Oryctolagus cuniculus: one gene and its partner. The protein of the gene in region 1 purifies or fractionates together with the protein of each later gene. This does not show direct contact. Links are inferred from orthologs where the notes say so. Each region holds a gene or a part of one and is shown on either strand. Other genes may lie near its edges. The genes, in order: CDK20 and FKBP8.

Evidence for each region.
Region 2: the proteins of CDK20 (region 1) and FKBP8 purify together in Homo sapiens (affinity purification with mass spectrometry; 5 studies listed by BioGRID and IntAct, with this or other methods). This does not show direct contact. The link is inferred for Oryctolagus cuniculus from reciprocal best matches to the Homo sapiens genes CDK20 and FKBP8.

Annotation. Positions count from the first base shown.
Region 1 is NC_091432.1:137,155,173-137,164,656, reverse strand, and holds the start of CDK20 (cyclin-dependent kinase 20), read left to right. Parts: upstream 1-3,005; 5' UTR 3,006-3,263; coding exon 3,264-3,338; intron 3,339-3,570; coding exon 3,571-3,684; intron 3,685-5,895; coding exon of another isoform or gene 5,896-5,923; coding exon 5,924-6,112; intron 6,113-6,272; coding exon 6,273-6,394; intron 6,395-6,551; coding exon 6,552-6,614; intron 6,615-7,045; coding exon 7,046-7,289; intron 7,290-7,641; coding exon 7,642-7,797; intron 7,798-9,239; coding exon 9,240-9,437; 3' UTR 9,438-9,484. UniProt on the Homo sapiens protein: Required for high-level Shh responses in the developing neural tube.
Region 2 is NC_091447.1:65,698,323-65,707,292, reverse strand, and holds the start of FKBP8 (peptidyl-prolyl cis-trans isomerase FKBP8), read left to right. Parts: upstream 1-35; 5' UTR 36-61; intron 62-3,899; exon of another isoform or gene 3,900-4,044; intron 4,045-5,387; 5' UTR 5,388-5,412; coding exon 5,413-5,695; intron 5,696-7,546; coding exon 7,547-7,716; intron 7,717-8,679; coding exon 8,680-8,768; intron 8,769-8,970. UniProt on the Homo sapiens protein: Constitutively inactive PPiase, which becomes active when bound to calmodulin and calcium. Seems to act as a chaperone for BCL2, targets it to the mitochondria and modulates its phosphorylation state.

The DNA of each region.
Region 1 (9,484 bases):
GTAAGCTTGAAGGCAGCCACACCAGGTGGGACGTGCTGCCTACAACACATTATCAAAGAGAGGCGTCTGGGATCCCCAGCTCCTCCCACTGCCCACCCCAGAAAGGAGCCTGCAGTCCTTGGAAGGAACTCACGGTCTGAAGCCGTGGTTAGCAGAGAGCTTGCCCACGGGAGTGGGAACAGATGGTGGGAGACCTGGAGGAAGCTCCTGGCTCCTGGTTTCGGACCGGCCTAGCTCTGGCCATTGTGACTGACCATTTGGGTAGTGAACCAGCTACTATTTTTGACTTACATTTTAAAAACCAGAATATATATTTTTCTGCAAAGGGAAATGAATTCATATGTTACATATGTCCTCATATTTTTAAAGCATTATAAATACACAGAAAAGTGCCAAGTCATAAGTTTGTCACTGCTGCCAGATTCTCAAACCCCCTCATGCCCTTTCCAGACACTTCCTGAGGCTTACTGTGTTTCTGTTTTCTTACACCGAAGATTAATTTTTTTATATATAAATAATACAATATACATTCTTTTTGCCCAGTTTCTCCACTCATTATTGTGTTTTCAGATTTATCTATGTTGTCGGCAGTAGTGACACTTCATTCATTCTTATTTCTGTTTAAAACTCCATCAGGTAAGCACTGCACAATTTATTCATTCTTTGTGGACTGTTTCCAGGTTTGTGTTATTTAAAAGAGCCCTATGCTATACAAGAATTCTTGTGTGTCTCTGGTGAACATACACTTTGGTCAACATTGCATCACGTATACTATGGTGGTTTCACAAGTTGATAGTAATGTCATAGCCATCTTAGTTTGTGTAAGTAAATTCTATGATGATGTTCACATAATGACAAAATCATCTAAATATGCATTTCTCAGAATTTATCCCATCACTAAGCAACACTTGACTGTATATATGAATACTTTTCTTCTTCCTCTTCCTCCTCCCCCTCCTTTTCTTCTTCTTTATACAGTCTGTCAAGTTAAAATCTCAGGAGTAGAACTAGGCCATAGGGTGCATTTATATATGTATATATGCTAATATACACACATACATACATATAATAGTACTTCAAAATTTCATGGAAAAATTCCTATTATGAAAAACTATACATGGATTTAAATTAAAAAAAAATTTATTTAAAAGACAGAGTTACAGAGTGAGAGGGAGATCTTTCATCTGTTAGTTCACTCCCCAAATTTGGCCACAATGGCCAGGGCTAGGCCATGACAAAGCCAGGAGCCTGGAATTGCATCCCGGTCTCCCACACTGGTGGCAGGGACCCAGGCACTTGGGGCATCTTCTGCTGTTTTCCCAGATATATTTAGCAGGGAACTGGATAGGAAGTGGAGTGGCTGGGACAAAAACCAGCACTCATATGGGATGCCAGCATCACAGGTGGCAGCTTAACCCGCTATGTCACAATGCTGGCCCATACTGCTTGTTTTCTAAGAGTTCCTTACAAATTCTTTGTCAGATATATGGTTACAGTTTTCTTCTTCTTCACCATCGCTTTCCTGCTCACATTCTAATGGCATATTTTGATGAATAAATGTTCTCACTATACAGGGCCAGTGCTGTGGGTTACGCCCCAGCCTGCAATGCCATGTCCCAGCTGCTGCACTTCCAATCCAACATGGGAAACCTTGGAAGAGGCCCAAGTGCTTGGGCCCCTGCACTCATATGGGAGACCTGGATGAAGCTCCTGGCTCCAGGCTTCTGTCTGGCCCAGCCCCGGCTATTTTGCAGCCATTTGAGGGGAATGGACCAGTAGATGGAAGATCTCTCTCCGTCTTTGTGTCTCCTTCTCTCTCTCTGTAACTCTGCCTTTCAAATAAAAAAATAATAAAATGAATCTTTAAAAAAATGTTCTGACTATTGATGAAGTCCAATTTCCCTTATAGTGTTTCACTTCCCTTATAGTGTTTCTGGTAACTTAAGAAACTCCATCTACCTAATCCAAAGCATATAAGTAAGATGCTGTTTTCTTCAAAAAGCTTCATTATTTACCTTTCCTGTTTAGCTCTGCAGTCCATCTGGAGTTGGTTTTGGCTTTGCGATGGTATGAAATCTGGATCAATATCCAGCCCCGGCCCCATGTTATTTTCTGAAAACCATCCTTTTCCCATTCTACTACCGTATCTATCTTCATAATTAAAATATTTTTAAAAAAGTTTATTTATTTCAGAGGCAGAGAGAGAAGAGAGTGAGAGTGAGCGAGCGAGAGATCTTCCACCTCCTTACTCCCCAAATGCCTGCAAGAGGGGGCTACACCAGGTGGAAGCCAGGAGCTCCCATCTCAGTGTGAGTCTCCCAGGTGGGTGGCAGGGGCCCAAGTACTCGAGCCATTAACTGCTGCCTCCCACAGTGCACATTAGCAGGAAGCTGGAAGCGGGAGCAGAGCCGGGACTCGAACCCAGGCACTTTGACATGGGATGCAGGCATGCCGCGTGATTTCTTAACTGCTGCACTAAATGCACACCCCAATTCATATTCTTTCTTGCTTTTGTTATGCAGTCGGTGGCACTCTATTTATCAGGTCCTGCAGCCTGCCGCCTTTACTTAACAATTTTAGCAACTTCCCATCCCTGTACATAAAAAAAAAAAAAATTTCACTCATCTGTAAACCCACATTATATTGCATTGGCGAGGTGGGAAACCGTGGATGCATTTTGCATTTGTCTTACTGTGTGTAATAAGGTTGAGCGTCTTTCCATAGAGGCGTCTTGTGTTTTCGGTCCTTTCAGGGTCAGAGTCCGCCCTCTGAAAGGTATGAGTTCACGGCGCTGATGGACCATGGTCCAGACAGGAAGCGCTCACCTCCCCACGCCGCAGGCCTAGCCCGCCTGCCGTCACCACGGGCAGAAAGACATGCCTGTGGCGGAGACCCGCAACACGCGTGCTACAGGCCGGTAGCCTCCGGCGTGCGGGGTGAGACACCCACCCCGCCCCCTCGCCTGGCGGCCCCGCCCCTCCTCGCAGCCCCGCCCCCGCCCCGTCACGTGACGCGGGGCCGGCGGCCATTGCTCCGCGGCCTGGCGCTGGGCAGTTCTCCGGGCTTGGGTGACCTAATGCGGGGTTAAGCCGCCCTGCTGCGGGACAGCGGAGAGAAAGGAAAGACAGTCGGGCCTAGGACGGAGAGCGTCCCTGACTGGGGCCGCCTAGGTCCCCGGTGGCAGGCTCGGGGGCCCGCCGCGGTGTTGCTAGGCGACCGCGTCGGGCTCTGAGCGGCTGGCCGGGCTGGGAGCCTGGGCGCCCATGGACCAGTACTGCATCCTGGGCCGCATCGGCGAGGGCGCCCATGGCATCGTCTTCAAGGCCAAGCACGTGGAGGTGAGAACGGGTGCCCCCCTGCTCGGATCGCGTCGGGGGGCGGTGCCCGGCCTGTGTTCGGACAGGTTGTGGGCGCGGCGCCCGCGCCACCCGTCCTCTGGCCCCGGCTTGAGCCCCGGCGTGGCTCCCGTTTACCCGGCTAACGAAGCCTCCCCCTCTCACACCTGTCTCTCGCCCTGCCTGCCTCCGTCCCGGGGTCGGGCTGGCAGTGTCCGCGCTCTTTCCTGTGCAGACTGGCGAGATCGTCGCCCTCAAGAAGGTGGCGCTGCGTCGGCTGGAGGATGGCATCCCCAACCAGGCGCTGCGGGAGATCAAGGCTCTGCAGGAGATCGAGGACAATCAGTATGTAAGTGGGGGCCCGGCCTGGCGGAGCGGGGCGTCGGGGCGTCGGCGGGCATCGCCTTCGCTTCCTGTCTCCCTCATCCCCACTCTCTCCTGCCTTCACTCACTCACCCCTTCAAACGCCTCCAGGATTCCCTCTGTGCGCTCCTCACTCCGCCCTTTCGTCTGCCTCCTCCGTATCCCTTAGTTAGGCCGTTTGTGTCTGCTTGTTCACCCTCGTTCATCCAATTCCTCACTCATTTACTTTCTGGTTTAGCACCTAGTTCTTTATGATCTCATTTTCTTATTCTCCTTCTCGAAGCATTTAGTGATTTCTGATGGGGATAGAAAGCGCTCGCTGAGCTCATGTGTCCTGCAGGCTGTGCCGAGGGCTTGACACCACTGTGGTCCGGAGCCCTCTGCCCCTGTGCGTGGTGTGTTTCAGAATGTGTTTCTCAGGCAGTGGGAGGAGGTTAGGTCACCTGCTCTTAGGCCCGCAGCTGCTCAGTGGAGTCCAGACATTCAGCCCTTGTGGCCTCCTGTATGTAGCAGGCTCTTTCCTGGGTTTGTTCTGATGGTTCAGAGAGGAGCTGGCCCAACCCAGCTCCTAGGAACTTAAGTGTGGTGTCGGGGGTGACGGGATCCGTCTGATGCGGTTTGTGCTGTGACAAGTTGCCAGGAAGAGTTATGGCAGTGAGAGGGACCTCTCACACCCCCAGCGTCATTACTCTCTATGGTCCTCTCTTAATCTATGTTGGAGTACAGAGCTGGTCTCCTGCCAAGTGACAGAGTCTCTGTGGTCGCGTGACTTGTGTTCATTGTCTTCTGGAGATGTCCATGATACACTGGGCGATAAAAGGATGTTCTAAAGCTTTCTGTGTCATCCTTGTTTTGTATGAAAACACTTACCTGTGTGTATATGTGTGTGCCTACCTACTGTAAAGTCTGGTAGAGTGTACTCCAAGATGGACTACAGGTACTTGAGTTTTTCTTTCCCTTATAATTTTGTGTACTGTCTGTGTGCATGTGTTTTGATCTGTGAAATGAATATGTACTACCAGAAAAGCAGCAATACAGCCATTCTAATTTTTCAGGCAAAACAAAAGAACTTGCAGACAGCTGATTTTGGGAGAGAGAGCTCCATAAGGAGGGCAGTGATGTGGTCCCTGTGTCCAGTGGTCAGCATTCCTGAAGGTTCTTTAAAACATGCTCTGGATTGGTTCCTGGCCTGGATCACCCTCACCACTCACCAGAAAGATTGCACCAACCTGTAGATTGCTCCCCAGGCTAGAGTTCAGAGGGTTCTGTCCAGAATGGAAATTGAATCGTCCTCTCCCCGCTTAGAGAACCCCAGGGGCTTCTCTTCACATTTGGGGCACAGTCGCTTTGTGCCCATCTCCAGCCACTGTCCCTGTCCAGTCCTATCCTAGAGCTTCCTAGGCACAGAGCGGAGCAGACCCATTTCTTCCCCCAGACCACCTCCAGTGTCCATGTCCCTCCCCCTCCTGCGCCCACTGAGGTCTTGCACCTGGTGTCCCACTGCCCACTGCTTTTTCCCAGTTCTCTGCGTAACTGGCTCCCTGAGGAGCCCCTCCCTGCCCCTGCCCCATGTAAATAAGGAATCCTTTTCTCCAGTTGAAGAATTACACCACCTTAGTATACAAGAAGTCTTCAGAGAGTTCTTGAAAAGGTACATGTTGTGAAAAAACTAGATTTCAAACATTTTTTGTACTAAACTTTTTAAAATTCTATTTCCCACAGACTTTTGGGAATTACCTTCATATGTCTGTCTTGTGTGTATCAGCCCTGAACATATCCCTTTGTTTATTTATCAACCGCTTAGCACACTTGGCACCCTTGGCACTTTGTTAGTCCTGTCTTCTGATTCCCTGGACTCACTGGTAGCCTCAGGGCGTGTGATGTGTCTTTAGCTCTCCCAGCACTGGGCAGGTGTGAATCTTGGCACCCTGCCCTTGGTGCTTGCATTTAATGGCTGCCAAGGAAACAGGAAGAACTCTGCTTGTGCCGTGTGTATGTCCAGGTGGGTGGGTGGGGATGCTGCCCATCAAGTAACCTTCTACAGACCTTTTCCCTGGGTGTCCCAGGAGCATGGGGTTCCCTGAGTGTCCCAGGAGCATGGGGTGGGGACCTGTGTTGGCTCAGGAGGGCAGAGCAGCATGAGCGCTAAGCATCCTGGTTCTGAGGTCAGGTCACGTGTTGCCATCTCTGCCCGCAGAGGGGGTTTACAGGATGCCTGCCCACAGGTGGTGCAGCTGAAGGCCGTGTTCCCGCATGGTGCAGGCTTCGTGCTGGCCTTTGAGTTCATGCTGTCGGATCTGGCCGAGGTGGTGCGCCATGCCCAGAGGCCGCTGGCCCCTGCACAAGTCAAGAGCTATCTGCAGATGCTGCTCAAGGGCGTCGCCTTCTGCCATGCCAACAACATCGTGCATCGGGTCAGTCCCAGCATGGGCCGGGGTGGGCTAGTCCTTATAAAGCTGTGGTCAGAAGGGGACAGAGGGTCCCAGGGCCTTCAGGTGAGCATCAAGGGTCTGAGCTGACCTAGGCCCTCATCCCCAGGCATTAAGAGACTGGTGCCTCCTTTTATACCCCCAGGACCTGAAACCTGCTAACCTGCTCATCAGTGCCTCAGGCCAGCTCAAGATTGCAGACTTTGGGCTGGCCCGGGTCTTTTCTCCAGATGGCAGCCGCCTCTACACACACCAGGTGGCCACCAGGTAGGGGCAGCAGATCCCCTGCCCTCCCTTGGGGGAAGAGATGCTCTGGTTTCCTTGCCCGACATTGCTTGTGGGTTCAGGTGGGGCTTGGGTGACCTAGGACAGCCTCCCATCTGACTGGTGGCCTGGCTCTGACCTCCAGCTCTCTTCCTCCCAGGTGGTACCGAGCACCGGAGCTCCTGTATGGTGCCCGCCAGTATGACCAGGGTGTTGACCTGTGGTGAGACTCCCATGCCAGGCAAGGGGCACCGTGGTCGTAGCCTCCTGCCAGGCTCTGGTGTCCTCTCCGTTGTGAGCTCCAGATTGCCTGGCAGGACTGGGATCTGCCCTCATTAGGGTTTTGGAGCAGCCTGGGGTTGGGAGGGAGGAAAGTGGTTGTCCCAGAGGGCAGCCTCTTGTCTGGCTGGTGTGTGTAGGACTAAGACCCAAGCATGTGACCTTGCCCATCTAGTCCAATGCCTGTGTCCCAGGGTGTGAAGTCCCTGAGCCTTCTTGGGGAGCAGATGGTGGTGGTACCCCGGCATCTGAGATTCAGAGCTGTTTTGTAGATTTGCTGTGGAAAGAGGAGTGTGTGTGTGTGTGTGTGTGTGTGTCCCAGAGCATGAGGCTCTGAGAGGTCTCAGGGCTGTTGGGGTTTGCTTTGTGTTCTAGGGTTGAGGTTCTTGATTGGGAGTCTGCACCTGTGGACATGAAGCCCTGGTGTGCAGTGCTGGAGCTGGTCTGGAGGTCTGTCCCATGGCGTGAGATCTGCTCGGTGTTCTGTATCCGCAGGGCTGTAGGCTGCATCATGGGGGAGCTGTTGAACGGGTCCCCTCTCTTCCCGGGTGAGAACGACATTGAACAGCTTTGCTGTGTGCTTCGCATCTTGGGCACCCCCAGCCCTCAAGTCTGGCCGGTTTGTAGGGGCCCCTGGTGGGGAGGGTTTGGGGGCAGATTTGCTCCAGTCCACAACAGCAAGTAACTGCTCCCTGCCCTGCACCTTCTCTCTCATGACCCCAGCCTCCCTTGACCAACAGGGACCACTGTCTAGGCCCAGTGCCAGGGTCCCCCCTCCTGTCCTGCCCACCTGGCATACACAGCACCTCAGCAAGCTGGGCCTGGGGCAGATGCCCAGGAGGGTCAGGGAGCGTGAGTGGATGATGGGGGGGCCGGGTGGATGAGAGAGCAGACAGCGAGGCCCTGAGACCTGGTACTGAGCAGTGAGGGCAGCGCGGGCTCTGAGGTGCTCCCTCCTCTTTGCGTCTCAGGAGATTACGGAGCTGCCCGACTACAACAAGATCTCCTTCAAGGAGCAGGCACCTGTGCCCCTGGAGGAGGTGCTGCCGGATGCGTCTCCTCAGGCCTTGGACCTGCTGGGTCAGTTCCTGCTGTACCCGCCTCGCCAGCGCATCCTGGCCTCCCAGGTAGGCTGGAGGCCCTGGGCTGCTCCATCAGCTCCCTGTTGACCTGACTCTGCACTTGGTAGCCGTGGTTCCCCAAGTCAGCACCCTTTAGAACCTATTGTACATGGGTATACCCAGGACAGGGGCCCCAGGCCAGTGTGCCTCTCATGAGCAGAGCCCGCTGGACACCCCCAGCAGGAGAGAGAGTGACCTGTTGGAGGGTGCATGCCTGTCCGCAGGGAAGTGCACGTCTGGTGTGCGGGGTCCCAGGCTGCCCTGAGCCTTGAGCCACGCGGCAGGCGTAGCCGAGTCACTGAGGGCTCGCGTGCTCTCTCCTCAGCAGCATTCACTCAGCTCTAGCATGTGCCGGGCATCGTAACAGCAGCCCTGCATCTGGGGCTCCAGGCAGGCAGGAGTGTGGTAGCCCCAGGTGCAGGGCGGGCCAAGGCAACCTGCCTGACAGGTGAGGTTTAAGCTTGAAGAGGGGTTTGCTGAAGCGGGAAATGGTGAGCAGTGGCCTAGAGGGTAAGGACCCCGAAAGCTGGTTGTGACTAGAAGGCAGGGAAGGGTGGTGAGCACCGAGGAGCCCTCCCTGGAGGGTGTCAGGGCCTAGCTGTCAGGCAGACGGGACCTGCGGGCCTGCTGGCCTCTCATTGCCTCTGCTGCTGGCACCAGCAGCCTGTGCTTGTGCATACCCTGGGGGGTCCCCACTTGTGGCAGCGCCTGTGGGCTCTGTTCGCCTCTCTGCGCAGTTGCCTCCCAGAATCTGCATCCCTCCTCGTCCCCTGTACTCTCTCTTCCACCTGGCAGAGGAGTGACCTTGACTGAGGAGAGCAAGTCACACCCCGTCCTCTGCCAGGCCCTGCTGTGGCTCCACCTCACTCGCAGGGAAAGCCAGGGTCCCCCTCGTGACCCACAGGTGTTGCAGCCTCAGGCGCAGTCACCTCTGGACCTTGCCCACTCTTGTTCCCTGTGCTGATTCCTCTCCAGCCCCAGGATTGCTTCCATGTCCTAGAACACATGAGGATGCTGCCCTGGGGTCCGTGGACATCTGTTCCTAGCCTGCAGCACTCCGATCAGGCCCTCCTGTGCCCCTCTCCCCCGCCCTGGCTCACCTCGCAGGCCTTTGCTCACTCGCCTCGTGGGAGGCCCTCACTGCTCAGCAGCCTGCAGCCTCCCCAGCCCTTGTTCCCTTTCCCATAGCACTGATCCTTTTCTGGTGTACCATGCATGTTACTCGATCTTATTTATTACCCCCCCCCCCATTCTATCCATGAGCCCGAGTTTTTGTCCGTTTTGCTCATTGGTGTGCCCAGGCTCTAGAATGGTGTTTAGACGTAGCAGTTAACTTAGCAAGGTTTGCTGCGTCACCTGAATGCATGGGTCAGCCCCTTGCCCTTGGCTTGAGGCTGCGGACAAGGCAATAATGGTTTTCTTCTGGTGTTCCTTCTTGCTTCCCCCAGGCCCTCCTGCATCAATACTTCTTCACAGCTCCCCTGCCTGCCCACCCATCTGAGCTGCCCATTCCCCAGCGCCCAGGAGGACCTGCCCCAAAGGCCCACCCAGGGCCTCCTCATGTCCATGAGTTCCACGTGGACCAGCCTCTTGAGGAGTCACTGCTGAACCCAGAGCTGATCCGGCCCTTCATCCCAGAAGGGTAAGATGCTGGCCCAGGTCCTACTCACCTGCCTCCAAGGATCACGCAGGC
Region 2 (8,970 bases), on another chromosome or scaffold:
GGGCTCTCGTGCGCCTGCGCAGTCCGCGCGGCTGAGCCGCCGGAAGGGGTTAGGTCGGAAGGTATGTCCAGGGCTGATGTCCGCAGTCTCCCCCAGTCCGTGAGAGCTCCCAGGCTCCCGTCGCTTTGAATGATCTTAGCATTTAAGAACTTTTTCCTAAGATTTTTTTTATGTACTTCAGAGGCAGAGAGAGAGAGGTTTTCCATCCGCTGGTCACTCCCCAGATGGACACTGGGCCAGGCCGCAGCCGGGAGCTCCATCCGGATCTCCCGCGCAGGTGCAGGGCCCGGCATGCTGCCCCCAGGCCCTCAGCCCGGGGCTGGACCGGTCCCGAGCTGCAGAGACTGAAGCCAGCGCCGCCGCCTGGGGTGCGGGCGCCACAACGCGGCCCCCCAACAAGGATTTTTTAAAATAATTTTTAGAATTTTTGGGGGGCCGGCGCTGTGGCATAGCGGGTAAAGCCGCCTCCTGCAGCGCTGGCATTCCCTATGGGCCCCGGTTCGAGTCCCGGCTGCTCCACTTCCGGTCCAGCTCCCTGCTATGGCCTGGGAAAGCAGCGGAGGATGGCTCAGGTGCTGGGCCCCTGCACCTGCGTGGGAGACCCGGATGGAGCTCCTGGCTCGTGCGCACCGGTGGGAAGAAGCTGGGTCGCAGACCCCGGCTCTCAGATCTGGGATCCAGGCTCCCAGCGGGCGTCTTGGCTACGTTGTTACTGCCGCCTCTGCTGAAAAGCCCCGGGGACCAGGATTCTTACGGAGTTTGACAGTTTTTAAAGACTTTCCCTCCCGCCAGGTGTGGCCCGTGTTCTGGGACCCCAGGGACCACTTAGGTCCTGCTTAGGCCTGGAAGGAAAAAGGAGATAGAGTCAGAGGCAGACGCCCCCAGCCTCGCGGGGCTTCTGTGTTTGTAAAGAATAGGAAGGACCCTCCGTGCGCAGGAACCTGAGCCGTTGTGAGCGCTCGTTTTGGGAGCAAGGGAGGTTGCGGGGAGGCAAACCCCATCTAGCTGGGGTTTTGAGGTTGGAGTAGGAGTTTTGCAGGCAGTGGACGTGACTTGGGGCTGTAAGAAACGATGATGGGAAACCACACGGTGTGGGCTTGACCGTTGTAAGGGGGGGGGGGCTCGGTGAGCCCGCGGCGGCCAAGAGCTGAGAGAGGGGCCCTGCTGGGGGAAGCTGCTCGATCCATGGCCGTGTGCAGGCTGCCGCAGGGGGCCCTGCCAGAGGCCGGGGCACGTTTCTGGGAGCCCCAGACGGGTAGGGACAGAGGGACTTGGGGGCCCCGAGGACTGGAGACGAAATGTCCTGGTGTCCTGTGTGTTTACGGGAGAGGGTGGTGAGCGCAGGGCCGCCCCGTCCAGCAGGAGAGACCCATGGGAGGGCACTCGCAGCCCCCTCCTCCGCCCTGTTTTGGTTGCGTTTGCTCCACGCGTGTCCCCGGGTGGGCTCAGCCACTGGCCACCCTGGCCAGGGAGGGGACCTGGCCCACGTTGCCCTCCATGGCCGCGACCTTGAACAAGCTACGCCATGCCTCCGTTTCCCTGGCCATACAGGAAGCTCTCGGGAGTCGTACCAGATACCCCCATTCGTCCCTAAAGAAGGCCAACGTGGTGCCAGCATCCCATGTAGGCACGGGTTCGAGTCCCGGCTGCTCCACTTCCCATCCAGCTCTGCTGTGGCCTGGGAAAGCAGTGGAGGACGGCCCAGGTCCTTGGGCCCCTGCACCCGTGTGGGAGACCCGGATGGAGCTCCTGGCTCCTGGCTTTGGCCTGGCTCAGCTCTGGCCGTCTGTCAAGTGAACCAGTGATTGGAAGATCGATCGATCCCTCTCTCACTCTGCCTTTCAAATAACTAAATCTTAGGAAACAGGAACACAGAGTGGTGAAGGTTTATATCCAAATGTGTCCAAAATTACATCAACTGTAAATAGATCAAATACTGGCGGTAAAAGGCAGGGACGGGCCGGCATCAAGGCCGGTGCCCACGATGCCCACGCCCACCGGGGAGCTCCTGGGTCTGATTCCTGGCCCCGGCCCTGCCTGCGCAGACCCCAGGGGTGGCAGTGAGGATGCAGGGTGACTGGGTCCCCCCGGCCGCCCAGCACACGCGGGAGCCTCACCTGAGCACCCAGCTCTTGGTTTAAGCCCCAGCCACTGTGGGCGTCTGGGGCTGAATCTCTCTCCCTCTCCGTCTTCCTCCCTCCCTCTCTCTCTCTCTCTCTCTCCCTCTCTCTGCCTTTCAAGTAAGTGACCAAGTACAAGCCAAAGGCGAGACCGGCGTGCAGAGTCCACGCTCGAGATTAGGGGAGCACAGGACGGCGGCCAGTTCCCTCCCGGGGGGACCTGACCCTCGGACTCTGTGTGAGGCCCAGGAAGCATTCCACCAGGGTCTGCCTGTGCCTGGCAGGGGACCAAGCACTCGGGCTGTCGGCCACCGCTTTCCCAGAACATTAGCAGGGAGCTGGATCCGAAGTGGAGCAGCTGGGACTCGAACCGGTGCCCCATGGGATGCCGGCACCACAGGCTGCAGCTTTACTGGCTACGCCACAGCGCCGGCCCCTGGCCTAGGGTTTGTGTGATGCCCCTGCCTTGGTGACTTCTCACGGCCCCCTGCTGGTTCTGTATGGCCTGCCTTTCGCAGCGACTTCCCTGGGTGCCCGGGACCTCGTGCCTGGCAGGTGCTCAGGCCTCAGGGCTGGGGGAGTGGGGGCTGGGATCCCGCAGCAGGTGTGCGGTGGGCCAGGCAGAGGTGAACTAACCGGGGCAGGCGTTCTTGGGAAGCATGTGTCCTGGGTTCGAATCCTGGCTCCTCCCCTTCCGATCCAGCCCTCTGCCGCTGGGCGCCCAGCCGCCCACGTGGGAGACCCGGATGCAGCTCCGGCCTCTGGGTTTTAGCTCGGGCCAGACTTGGCTGTTGTAAGTACTTGGGGAGTGACCCAGGTGGAAGATCTCTCTCTCTCTCTCTCTCTCTTTCTTTCTCTCTCTCTCTGCCTTTCAAATAATTCGACAAAGCGGCTAGATGTTGTAAACCACCAGGCTAACCTGGTCTTGCCGTGGGGGTGGTCAGGGAGGGCTCCCTGGAGGAAGCTGACTGGGATCTCATTCATTTATTCACTGCATTCATTTGTTCAACTATTGAATCACTGCATTGCCTCGCAACCGCGTCACCCATCGGGGAGGCGCTGGGTGCAAAACAGGAAAAAAGAAAAATAAACTCCCCGCCAGGACAGAGCGAAGTGGGGGTTGGGGATGTGGGAGCGCACCTCTAAGCCAAGGAACGCGCAGATCTTTCTGGAAAGGGGCGGCTGCCCAGGAGGAAGTGAACCTGCGAGGGAGGAGCCAGTGCCCCGGCTTCAAAACAAGCGGAGAAACTCTGTCCGGCCTGGCCGCGCGCGCGCCCCCTCGCCCTGTGTCCGAGCGAGCGTGCAGCAGGGACCTCTCTGGGGCCCCTGCGCGCTCAGCTGCCCGCCCACCCAGCCGTTATTGAGCGCCTTCTGCATGCATCAGGGAACCCTCCAGGAAGACAGAGACCCCGCGGGGTGGGGGGAACGCGGTGTCCTTGGGCACATTGCCCCCGACCCCCCACCCCGGCGCCTCGCAGAGCTGGGGCCTCGGGGTGGGCTCCCCGGACCCAGCCGGCGCTTCCTAAGGCCCCTCCCCGCGGCCCCCCGAGAGTGCGAGCGTGGCGGGGGGTTTATCCCCATTCAGCAGACGAAAGCTCAGACCCGAGCCGGGAGCGGCGCCGGGCGGTGCGGCGCGGACCCGCGGTCGAAGTCCATCCCAGAGGCCCCCCGCCCCCGCCCTGAGCGGCCGGGAGGCGTCGGCCCCTTTAAGAACGCCCCGCGGAGCCAAGCAGGAAGGGGGCGGTGCCCGCGCCCGAGACGGACGTGCGCGCAAGCCAATACGCGCGGCAGTGGCGGCGGCGGCGGCCAATGAGCACAGCGGGGGTGGGGCCCGGCGCCCGAACCTGGTTCCCGAGGCGCGGCGGCCGCGGCTGGGGGCGGGGAGGGGGGCGCAGGACCCCAGGCGGGGGTCCCGGAGCCGGAGGCACGTGTCCCGGGGCGCCGGCGGGGTCGCGCTGGCCGGGGCCACCGTTCGGGCCTCGGCGGGTTCCGGGGCTCGGCGCGGCGGGGGCCGCGGCCGATGGGCGGGGCGAGGGGCCGCGGGGGAGGCGAGCGCGGGGCGCGGGGGTCGGGGGTGCCTTAGGGGGGCTCGGCCTGCTGGGAGCGACGGGGCTGGCGGCCCGAGGGAGCGAGGGAGAGCCCGCGGGGGGCGCTGCCGATCGCTGCGTGCAGGGCCGGGGGTGCTCGCGGGGGTCGGGGGGCTCTGAACTGGTGGCGTCAGACGGGCGTGGGGCGCTGGGGGCGTCCCGGGGGCGGAGGGTGCTGAGGGTCGGGAGGGGAGCGGCAGGGGACGCCGGGGCGACCGAGCGGCCGTGGGGGGGGCTGGCCCGGCTGGGGGCGGGGGGCATTCGTGCGTTCGCAGGGGGTTGTGGGGGGCCCGAGCCCCGGAAGCGGCGGGCAGGTGAGGGTTAGGGAGGCGGTACTGCGGGTTCCTGGGCGCTTGGGGCCTGAGGGAGCCTGGGGGTCGCTAGGGCTAGGGGCTCCCAGCAGGCCTGGGCAGGGAAAAAACTAGGAACAAGCCAGGGCCAGGCCGGGCGGGTGGGGTGGGGTGGGGGTCTCTCCCTCGAAGGCTGCTTGGTGGGGGGCCCAAGGGGGCCTGATGGAAGTGGGTTAGCGCCAGGGTCCCCGAAATAGGAGTTGGGGGTCAGGATTAGCTGAGGGTGAGGAAGGAGAAGGCTGGGGCGGGGGTGTGGGTGGTGGTGTCCATGTCTGTCGGAGGAGCTGGCTCCCCTGGGGAGAAGGGGCAGGTGGAGGTGGGCAGGCCCTGGCTGGAATCCATTCCCCACATAGCCTGGGAGCCCTAAAGATGGCTTCCCTGAGGCCTGGGGGTGCTCCGTCGCCCCCAGCACCCGCCCTTGGCATGCAGTCCCAGAAAGCCCCCAGGGTCTGTCCCTGCCCTGCGATTGCTCCGTGTGACCTTGGACCCCTACCTTTGCCCCGCTGGGTCTGTTTTCTAATCTGCAGAATGGGTGGGGGGGCTGTGTGTGGAGAGGGACGGTTCCTACTTGCTGAGATGTTTATAAAAATTAAATAATCATTAGCTCTAATAATAGCTAACACTCTCAGCCTCATGCCTGGCGTTTGAGGCGTGGGTTGTTTTGAATTCCCTTCCGGGTTGTTGTACCCACTGTACGGATGAGAGGACTGAGGCCCGGGAGTTCCCGAGTCCCCCTGCTAGTGGTCAGCCCTGGGTGTGTGTGGGGAGGGGTGGGACAGAGGAGACTCCGGGGGGCTTACCTCCCTCCTGTCCGTCCCCCCTGTCCCCAGGGCCAGTTCCCGTGCCCCCAGCACCATGGCTTCCTGCGCCGAGCCCTCGGAGCCCAGGGCCCCGCCGCCGGCTGGGGTCCCGCCGCTGGAGGACTTTGAGGTGCTGGACGGGGTGGAGGAGGCCGAAGCGGAGGAGGAGGAGGAGGAGGACGATGACCTGAGCGAGCTGCCGCCACTTGAGGACATGGCACAGCCCCCGCCGGACAAGGCCGAGGAGCAGCCGGGGGCCCTGGCCCGGGAGTTCCTGGCTGCCATGGAGCCGGAGCCCGCCCCGGCGCCGGCCCCCGAGGAGTGGCTGGACATCCTGGGTAAGGAGCGGCGGGGTCTGGGGCTGACCTTGGTGACAGCCGCGTGACAATTGCTGAAGTCCACTCCTGGCGCTCTCGCTCTCTCTCTCTCTCTCTCTCACACACACACACACACAGAGCTGCCAAGAGGCCCAGGGAGGCTGAGTCACCTGCCCGGAGCCGCACAGCAGCCCGGCGCCCGCAGCTCCCTGCCCCCACTGCATCTCTGCCCAGCCCTCGGGTGACACTGAGGTCGGGTTGTGCAGTTGAGCCGTGGGGTGGGGTGGGGGTGGGTGGTGGGAGCTGCTCCATGCGGTCTTTGTGAACCGTTCTGAAGGCAGGGACCAGGTGAGCCCGCCCCCCCATCCCGGGACTCATTAGTATTCCGTGGAGGGCGTGGGTGTCTCCCTACCGAGCAGTGCGGTGCCCACGCGGGTGCGGGGCCGACAGCGACACCCCAGCCACGGCACCAAGGAGCAGAAATGCCACCACCCGCACCGCCACTCATCCGAATCCCCGCTACCTCTAAAAATAACCCCAGGGAGTACTGAGGCTGGCCTGGCCTGCACGCCTTTTTTTTTTTTTTTTTAAGATTATTTATTTGAATGAGACAGAGAGGCCATCCGTCCACTGGTTTACTCTCCAATGCCAGCAGCAGCCGGGGCTGGGCCGGTCTCCTGCAGCCGGGAGCCAGGAGCTCCATCCCGGGGCTCCCACGTGGGTGGCAGGGACTCGAGTCCTTGAGCCGTCACTGCCGTCTCCCAGGGTGCGCGTGCGCAGGGGGCTGGCTCTGGACGCAGGGCTGCTAGGACTGGAACCAGGCGCTCCGATACGGGGGTGCGGGCCCCGTGTCTGTGACCACCCCATCCCCATTTCACAGATGCTTGCCCGAGGTCACACAGCGCCCCCTGCCGGTGCCTGCGGATAGCTGCCGAGCTCCCGGTCCCCCGAGCTTGGCGCTGTTGGTTTATTGGTTTAGTTTGTGCCGGCGCTCCCCGAGGTCAGCACCTGGTGCCCGTGAGCCTCGAGATGTGGGGGTTCCCACACTGGACGTGGGGCCTGTAGGAAGTTGGGGAGCACCCCAGCAGTCTAGAAGGTTCTGGGATATGTGTCCCTAACCTGTAGGCTCGGTCCACTCAGGCTTGTGAAGTGTCCCGGAGCGCTGGGACATTCCAGAACACAGGGAAGTGTGTGGATGTGTGCAGCCACAGGCCGGGTCGGGCAGCCTTGCTGGGGCTTCGTACACACTTGGGAGGGCCCTGCGGGAGGTTTTGGGCTGCGGGTCCCGGCCCAGGCGGCTCGCCGTCCCCCTGCCTCTATGGCCTGCCCTGAGTGTGTGCGTGGGGCCACCGTGGGCGCTGAGCCACGTGGCCGTTCCCGCGGTGGTGTGGGGGCGGCTGCCAGCGCAGACACTGTTCCCTTTGAGGGGGGACCAGGGGCCGCCTTTGCCAAGTACTCTGGCTCTGTTTCTGTTTTTTTTAATATTTCATTTTTTGAGAGGTAGAGTTACAGTGAGAGAGAGAAAGGCAGAGAGAGAGAGAGAGGTCTTCCATCCGCTGGTTCACTCCCCAGATGGCCACAATGGCCGGAGCTGGGCCGATCTGAAGCCAGGAGCCGGGGGCTCCATCCGGGTCTCCCACGCAGGGGCAGGGGCTGTAGCACTTGGGCCAACACCCGCTCTTAGCCGGGGGCTGGGTCAGAAGCCGAGCAGCGGTGTCGCGGGCGGGCGGCGGCTTCACCCGCTGCGTCACCCCCTGCCAGCTGTCCCCGCCCTTCTCCCGCGCCGCCCTCTCCTGAGATGGGCCCGTGGGCGGCCCTGTCCCCCCGGAGCGCAGGCCCCGGGTGACGCCGTGTGTTCTCCGTCCGCCCCAGGGAACGGGCTGCTGAGGAAGAAGACCCTGGTCCCCGGGCCGCCCGGCTCGAGCCGGCCCTCCAAGGGCCAGGTGGTCACGGTGCAGCTGCAGACGTCGCTGGAGAACGGCACGCGCGTGCAGGAGGAGCCCGAGCTGGTGTTCACCCTGGGCGACTGCGACGTGATCCAGGTGGGCGGGGCAGGCGGAGGGCCGGGTGGGGTGAAGGGCGGAGCTGGGGCAGGGGAGGTGGGCGGTGCTGGGGGCAGAGGGCATGGCATGGCGGAGCTGGGGCAGCGGGCTGGGGGGGTGGAGGGTAGGGCGGGGGTATGGGCGGGGCGGAGGGTGGGGCTGGGTGCAGGCGGAGGAGCTCAGGGCAGAGGGTGTGGGCGGGGCAGATGGCCTGGTGGGGGTGGAGGGCAGGGTATGGGCAGAGCTGGGGCAGAGGGCGTGGTGTGGGTGGGTGGAGGGTGGGGCGTGGGCGGGGCAGAGGACGGTACAGAGGGCCAGGTAGGGCAGAGGGTGTGGCATGGCGGAGCTGGGAGGCTGAGGGCTGGGGGGGTGGAGGGTAGGGCGGGGTATGGGAGGAGCTGGGGCACAGGGCGTGTCGTGGGCGGGGCGGAGGGTGGGGCTGGGTGCAGGTGGAGCTCAGGGCAGAGGGCGTGGTGTGGGCGGGGCAGATGGCCAGGTGGGGTGGAGGGCAGGGCATGGGCGGAGCTCGGGGCAGAGGTGTGGGGCGTGGTGTGGGTGGAGCTCAGGGCAGAGGGCGTGGTGTGGGCGGGGCAGGTGGCCTGGTGGGGTGGAGGGCAGGGCATGGGCGGAGCTCGGGGCAGAGGGCGTGGTGTAGGCGAGTGGAGTGGGGGAGACATGGAGTGGAGCTCGGGACAGAGGGCGCAGTGTGGGCAGAGCTTGGGGCAGGGGGTGTGGGCAGATTTTGGGCGTGGGTGGATGGAGGGTGGGGCGGGGCATTGGCAGAGCTCTGGGGCAGAGGGCGTGGTGTGGGTGGAGCTCGGGTCAGAGGGCGTGGTGTGGGCGGGCAGAGGGTGGTGCAGAGGGGGCCAGGTGGGTGTGGGCGGAGCTTAGGACAGAGGGCATGGCATGGGTCGGTGGAGGGGGGCCTGGGGCCGCCTGACTCTCACTGGCTCCCCCCACCAGGCCCTGGACCTCAGCGTCCCGCTCATGGACGTGGGTGAGACGGCCATGGTCACTGCTGACTCCAAGTACTGCTACGGCCCGCAGGGCAGGTGAGCGCCCAGGGGACCCGGGCGGAGGGGAGGGAGGCTGGCGCCCGCTGCTTGCCATATTTACTTTTCTTTTAAGATTGATTTATTTATTTGCAAAGCTGAGTGACAGAGAGTAGGAGAGACAGAGAGATTTAGCTGCTGGTTCATTCCCCTAAGTGGTCCCAGTAGCCTCAAAGCCAGGAGCCAGGGGCTCCATCCAGGT